Linked DNA regions of Nothobranchius furzeri. The protein of the gene in region 2 binds, or shares a complex with, the protein of the main gene of each other region. Links are inferred from orthologs where the notes say so. Each region holds a gene or a part of one and is shown on either strand. Other genes may lie near its edges.

What was found. The genes of interacting proteins can lie anywhere in the genome.
Region 1: the proteins of s1pr1 (region 2) and si:dkey-26c10.5 are in contact, whole or in part, in a cryo-EM structure (PDB 8G94), measured with the Homo sapiens proteins. The link is inferred for Nothobranchius furzeri from reciprocal best matches to the Homo sapiens genes S1PR1 and CD69. Residues at the interface, in NP_001307659.1 of Homo sapiens: Asn157, Leu160, Phe161, Ile164, Ser165, Trp168, Val169, Leu172, Ile173, Gly176, Ile179, Met180, Gly181; in NP_001772.1 of Homo sapiens: Val41, Ala44, Val45, Val48, Val49, Thr52, Ile53, Ile56, Ile59, Ala60, Val63.

The regions. Positions count from the first base shown.
Region 1 is NC_091745.1:73,413,810-73,417,565, forward strand, and holds the start of si:dkey-26c10.5 (early activation antigen CD69), read right to left. Parts: upstream 2,514-3,756; 5' UTR 2,270-2,513; coding exon 2,197-2,269; intron 2,058-2,196; coding exon 1,965-2,057; intron 1-1,964. Other genes in the region: zgc:92606 (gamma-aminobutyric acid receptor-associated protein-like 1), read right to left, coding at 3,269-3,334, 3,463-3,581. UniProt on the Homo sapiens protein: Transmembrane protein expressed mainly on T-cells resident in mucosa that plays an essential role in immune cell homeostasis.
Region 2 is NC_091748.1:78,298,896-78,302,651, forward strand, and holds the start of s1pr1 (sphingosine 1-phosphate receptor 1), read left to right. Parts: upstream 1-1,318; 5' UTR 1,319-1,592; intron 1,593-2,490; 5' UTR 2,491-2,576; coding exon 2,577-3,701; 3' UTR 3,702-3,756.

The sequences.
Region 1 (3,756 bases), on a different chromosome or scaffold from region 2:
GGAGGGAGGGATAGGAGAAAAAAGCGTCTGTACTCTCCAAGAGCCGGAAGAAGATGTTTGTCGTGTGTGTCTTTTGATTGTTTTTTAGCGTTAGCAACTAGATGTTCCAACAAGAAATCCAGACCTTGTTTAATTTTTGATGCTGTTTATTCTCATTTGAGACATTCAGAGCAACTGAAAATCATAATTTGTCTCGTCTTTGTCTTTATTTTGAACATGCGTACATACACATAGTAATACACACAACATTTAACCCTTTGATGCATAATGGTCACTACAGTGGACAGGTACTCAAAATTGTTATTTATTTGTTTTTGCTATTAAGCACAGCTGTTGAAGACTTTATTGCATTTGAGCCCCTCCATTTGGACTTCAGTAAGCCAAGCCAACGTATTTCATGCTCAGAGTGCACGCTGTCCACCGAGGTGGACATGTAATAAATTGTTTGTAAATTATAAAATTTAACAAAAAATATATGTTGAAATTTGTTTCATTCACACCTAAAGATGAATGAAAAAAAATTGTTAAAAAAATCATGGTTGAAGATTTCATAATTCATGCATCAAAGGGTTAATCCCGCCCCTTTCTCGACATCAAATAACTAATAGTTATTTAATGTTGTCTGGTAGTTTTTGGCAAATTACTTTGCAACATATTCACACAAATGGCACATGGTTTATCAAGATTGTTGGATAAATTAGGTCACGGCACCAAAATGTTAGGTCATTTCATTTTCCCATCCAGGGTTACCTGAGGGAAAGTTCAACACGCAGGGGTCATATTAATAAACCGATCGATTAACCCATACCAATCTTTACCAATAAACAATTTAGACTTTGCAAAGTGGAGAGAGATAAAATGATTCACACGAGTCGGTAGGCAATTCGCTCTCTCAGACAGAACCCTCAGAAAGCATTTATTGAGGACACACAAAAATGGTAAAACGCACACACGTTTACACACTAAACACTGACACACACACTTTGACATTCCTTTAGACTCTCTTTAGGGAGACAACAGGCGCTGGCACAGGGCGTTCTTACTGATAAGCCAGGACTGGAAAGAGGCAAGGTCAAACGCCTGTCTGTTGCCAGGGTAAAATAAACCGGATGAAGCTTTCGTTTAAAAAATAATAAAATAATCTATTCATAATTTATCCAACAAAGATCATCTCATAAATACAAACATTTTGTGTTTAGACACACACGTTTGGACCTTCTTCCTTGTATTTGGTAAACATCATGAGTTGAAGCTTTTTTTTAAACAGCATCATGTTTGGACATCGCCTCATTCTGTTCCACAGTTTCACACCGCACGCACACACACACACACACACACACACAGAGAGAGAGAGACACTGAAAGTTTTTAATGATGTTCGGACTCGAGCATGTTTGAATTTTAACTCCCCACTTAACCGAAACCTCCCCTCCCTTTTATGAAACAGTTTTAATTTGTTGTCTGGAAGTGGTTTATTGTTTACTTTATACATTAGCTGTGCTGTTTTAAACTGAACTATCTCTGGAAATTTTAAGGTTTGTAATTTTAAAAATACTGAGTTTGTATGATCTCTGTAACCAGTGTTATAAATGATCCTTAGAGCCCTTTTTTGTAACACAGATAATGACGATGATGCACATTCATAGGTGTTTCCCCAAACCTCTGTACAGTAACTTAAATATGTGGAAACAAGTGAACAATAATTTGATTCAGGAACAATCACCAGATCAAACTGGAACAAACACTAACGTCTAAAAGCACAGGACTTATTACCAGAGCTGTGAAAATGAATAAATATATTGAAAATAAATAAATCACTACTAAAATCTTAATAAAGAACTTAAACTCTGTCAAAGGAAGATGCGACAGACTCAGACGTGCTAAAACGCGCTGCTCGTGGGATTTTCCTGCTCATCACAGACAATACGCTTATAAATGAGCTGTAATCTGCTTTTTCTGTCTTACCTTTTGCTGCTTTAGCAGGAACGCTGATGAGAGCGTCTGAATAGAAGTCCTCACTTGGACTTTGCAGGGTATCGTAAGCCGATTCTGCTTCCTCTAAAGATAAATACACAAACATCTGGAGTCTTCTTCCAAAAACTTCCTAAAAGTTTAAAACTTAGTTTTTTTGTACGTTTGTGCTGGAAGGTTAAACTCTCAAACACCTCTTTTATTCGTCTGACCCCTTTAAGCTCACCTTGAGGTTTCACCTCCAGCAAAGCTTCACCTCCAGTTTCCGTTCCTTGTGACGGGATGGTCTGCATCTCCATAGCTCTCCCTTTGTCGCTCCAACTTTCGATTTGCTCCGATTGTCTCTGATCAACTCAAGAGGTTATGTAACCCTTTTCAGCCCCCGGTGCCACAAATGCTGCACCAAGATGTCCAGATGGGTTTTAAAGAACAGAGAAAAGAGAAGTTTCTGATGTCCAGTGAAAACAAACGCCTCTGATCAGCAGAGACAACACTTCCCCTTAAAGATCTGTTCCTGCCCTTCCCCTATTTGGCATGTGGAGGCTTCAGCGGTTAAGGCCTGTTTTAATTCTTGCTGCTTCATCGTTAACTCCCAGGTGAAGCTCTGCTCTGTGTGCACATCATACATATTCCACATTAAACTAAATGTTAATATTTGGAGGCATCATAAATGTGGAGCTAATTACAGCCGGCTAGTTATTTATACAGGATTGTTGAAAAAGGGGACTGACGGCGAGAATGCATTCTTCAATAATCTTTATTCCCCACAAAGATCTGCGGTAATTTACAAAAACCAACAAACAAAAAGTACTATTTGCATTAAATACAGACGACTGAGAAAGTGAATGAGTTCTTTCAACTCAATTTTTTAAATCTTCCCTTTTAAACTCGATCTTTGAAGCCCTGACTTTTGACCAAACAAGAAAACCACAAAGTTTAAACATCTTTTGTACATTCTTGCTGTGTTTGTCCTCTAATTCAATTTTTGGTTCTTTTTAAACACAGATAAGGTTTTTCTTTAAAGAAAAACCTCATCTGTGTTTAAAACGAACCAAAACTGGCACCACAAAGTTTAAAGCTCCGAGAATCACGCTCAGCTTGAAATACTGTCGGTAAAACTGTGAAAACCCGACCGGCGTCACCTTCTGCCTTGTTCTTCCACCATCAGCTGTAGTTACTTATCAAAACGTAGAAAGAAAATTATAAAGTGTCACAAAGCATAACAGAAAACTTTCTCTTAGTCCAGCTTCACTTGGCTCTCTCTCCTTCTCAGTCTTTCATCGGCCTTCTGTTCCACTTCAGGCACCGTACACACTCTCGTTACTGTAGGTCATGTAGAGGAACAGGTCCTCTTCATGATGCTCCTGCAACAAAACATGACCAGAAGAGAATAAATCACGTCTAAAACACTTACATTGATATCTAATGGCTGGTTTTAGGTATAAATAAGACCGCCGGGGTTTAAACGCGACACAAATAGATCTGCAGTTACCTCGTATACAGTGGAGAGAGGGCAGCTGGATGGGGGGAGGGAGTTGTTGACGAAGAAGAAGAGCGCCTCCTCTGGCCTCAGCGACATACGTTGACGGATCAGAAAACACAACTGCCCCACTGATGAAAGAAAAAAAGGGAAGGAAATGGTCAGTTATGGTAACATCCTGCTGTCTGGTTTCATCCGAGAGGAATCGAAAGGAAAAATAAGTTGCTAGACATTACTGAGTAAGCGGCATTCTCCCTCTCCTGACAGTTACCATTTTCCTGTCTTGTGGAAATCAGCTGCTCATAC
Region 2 (3,756 bases):
ATCCATCCATCCATTCATCCATCCATTAATCCATCCATCCATCCATTCATCCATCATCCATCCATCCATTAATCCATCCATTAATCCATCCATCCATTCATCCATCATACATCCATCCACCCATCCATCCATTAATCCATCATACATCCATCTATCCATCCACCCATCCATCCATTAATCCATCATACATCCATCTATCCATCCATCCATACATACATTAATCCATCATCCATCCATCCATCCATCTATCCATCCATCCATACATACATTAATCCATCATCCATCCATCCATCCATCTATCCATCCATCCATTAATCCATCATCCATCCATCCATCCATCTATCCATCCATCCATCCATCATCCATCCATCCATTCATCCATCCATCCATCCATCCATCCATCCATCCATTCATCCATCATACATCCATCCACCCATCCATTCATTAATCCATCATCCATCCATCCATCCATCTATCCATCCATCCATTAATCCATCATACATCCATCTATCCATCCATCCATCCATTAATCCATCATCCATCCATCCATCCATCCATCCATTAATCCATCATCCATCCATCCATCCATCCATCCATCTATCCATCCATCCATTAATCCATCATACATCCATCTATCCATCCATCCATCCATTAATCCATCATACATCCATCTATCCATCCATCCATCCATTAATCCATCATACATCCATCCATCCATCCATTAATCCATCATCCGTCCATCCATCCATTCATCCATCATCCATCCATCCATCCATCTATCCATCCATCCATCCATCATCCATCCATCCATTCATCCATCATCCATCCATCCATCCATCCATCATCCATCCATCCATCTATCCATTCATCCATCATACATCCATCCACCCATCCATCCATCCATCTATCCATTCATCCATCATACATCCATCCACCCATCCATCCATTAATCCATCATCCATCCATCCATCCATCCATCCATCCATCCATTAATCCATCATCCATCCATCCATTAATCCATCATCCATCCATTCATTTATCCATTCATCCATCATACATCCATCCACCCATCCATCCATTAATCCATCATCCATCCATCCATCCATCCATCCATCCATTAATCCATCATCCATCCATCCATTAATCCATCATCCATCATCCATCCATCCATTAATCCATCATCCATCCATCCATTAATCCATCATCCATCCATCCATCCATTTATTTATTCATTCAACCATTTATTTTCCCATCCATCCATCTTCATCCATCCATCTGATGTGAAACAGACAAACACGAGGAGGACAGCATCCTCCTCCTCGTCGTTCCCGGTCCTGCGCGTGCGCGTGCGTGTGCGTGTGTCCTCTCCTCTCTGCAGTCGGACTCTGTAAAAACCAAAAACGTCTTTGTTGTTCTGGTCGACCTTCGGAGCAACCCACGCGGATCTTCAGCTGCACCAGAGGAGTCGGACCTGTTTTTTATGTTTGTTTTGTTCTGTATCTACTGGACCAGAACCAGAACCAGAACCAGAACCAGGAGCGGAGCCGCCTTCTGTCCTCCCGGCTTGAGGAGCCGCGCTCGGCTGAACTCAGGTCAGTCTGCGGAGTTTTTACTGGAATAAAGTCGATAAAAGTTCAAAACCCTAAATAAAGTCGAAAAGAACTGATTTAATCATCGTGGCGGGACTCGTGTGTGGGTTTGGGTGATTCTGTTCAAATTCAGTTCCTCTTCAATGATATTTGATCGTTATTGAGTCGAATAAAGACTAAAACCGAGTCTTCAGTAACTCTGGTGGATTTAAACAACTTTTCTCTGTGCTGAGGTCAAGTCTAACTTTAATGTTTTATTTAATCACCAATAAACAGCAGAATGATGGGATCCGTCCAGTTTAAGCCTTCATGTTCAGGTTTCAGACATTTACAAAGCAGAAGAAATTCCCTCAATTTAGCCACGTTATTTGGAACCCCAGCCTAAATAAACAGATAAATAAAGTAAAATATAAATATTTTATTATGATAATAAAATGATCATGAGCATCGTAGTGAGACATGTCAAAATAATTTAAGGACGTTTTATGAGAATATTTCGTTGAAATGTGATTATAATCACTAAACTCCGCAGCGTTTAGTTTGCGGATAACGTCTAGTTAGATCATTTTTAGGATGAACAGCTGAACAGATGTTTGATTTAACAACAAACATGAAGTTTTACGTGAATTTGTTACGTTTAAGGTTTTTTAGATTTTTATCTGTTGAATAAAACTGCCTCAGAACCAAAACGCCAAAAATAAACAAACTCTTCATGATTTAAATGTTATTTTTCTGATAATGATTATTTATTTGGATTAATATGTTTTATGAACTTTAGTCAAGCTGGTCACAGATGTTTACAGATGACAGGGTTAGGGTTAGAGCGAGCTTGTTGAAATCAGGGATGTAATCTCCTGAACGGAGAAGCTTTTATTCAAGTGTTCCTCTCCTGTTCCTGCAGGACCATGTCCCTCTCAGCTCCTCCTCAGGAGGACCACCTGACATGAATAACTGATTTGTGAGGACGCAGCGCCCCCTGCTGGACTCATGCAGCAGGCCATGGCTGATCCCAGTTATTCCGACCTCATTGCCAAACACTACAACTACACCGGAAAGTTCCGTAAGACGACCCAGCAGGACTCCGGTCTGAAGGCCGACTCAGTGGTCTTCATCATTGTGTGTTGCTTCATCATCCTGGAGAACGTCCTGGTCCTGACCACCATCTGGAGGACCAAGAAGTTCCACAAGCCCATGTACTACTTCATCGGGAACTTGGCGCTGTCGGACTTGCTGGCAGGTGTCGTCTACACCGCTAACATCCTCCTGTCCGGCGCCAACACCTACAAGCTGACGCCAACGCAGTGGTTCTTCCGGGAGGGCAGCATGTTTGTGGCACTGGCGGCGTCCATCTTCAGCCTGCTGGCCATCGCAATCGAGCGCCACCTCACCATGCTGAAGATGAAGCTGCACAACAACGGGAACACTTGCCGGGTTTTCCTACTCATCAGCACCGTGTGGATGATTGCGGCGGCGCTGGGCGGGCTGCCAGTGATAGGGTGGAACTGCATCGACCGCATGGTGCAGTGCTCCACCGTGCTGCCACTCTACCATAAGACCTACATCCTGTTCTGCACCACCGTCTTCAGCATCATCCTCATGGCCATCGTGGTGTTGTATGCCCGGATCTATGCCCTGGTCCGCGCTCGCAGTCGCAAGCTTGTCTTCCGCAAAGTCTCCAACGGGCGGGGCGGCACCAGTGCCAACAGCAAGAGCTCAGAGAAGTCCCTGGCACTGCTGAAGACCGTCATCATTGTTCTGAGCTGCTTCATTGCCTGCTGGGCGCCGCTCTTCGTCCTTCTGCTGCTGGACGTGGCCTGTGAGACTCTGACCTGTCCCGTCCTCTACAAGGCCGAGTGGTTCCTGGCACTCGCCGTACTCAACTCTGCCATGAACCCGCTCATTTACACGCTGACCAGCAACGAGATGCGCCGAGCATTCCTTAAGACACTAATGTGCTGCACCTCCTGCATCCGCCGGAAGCCCAAGTTCACGGGTCCGATAATGGGGGCGGAGTTTAGCCGCAGCAAATCAGATAACTCCTCCCACCCCAACAAGGAGGAGGCGGAGTATTCTCCTCGGGAGACCTCAGGGAATGTCACCTCGTCATCGTAAACAAACTTTGTGAACCCAACTTCCGTTCAATCAGAACTCTCAGAACTTTAGAGCT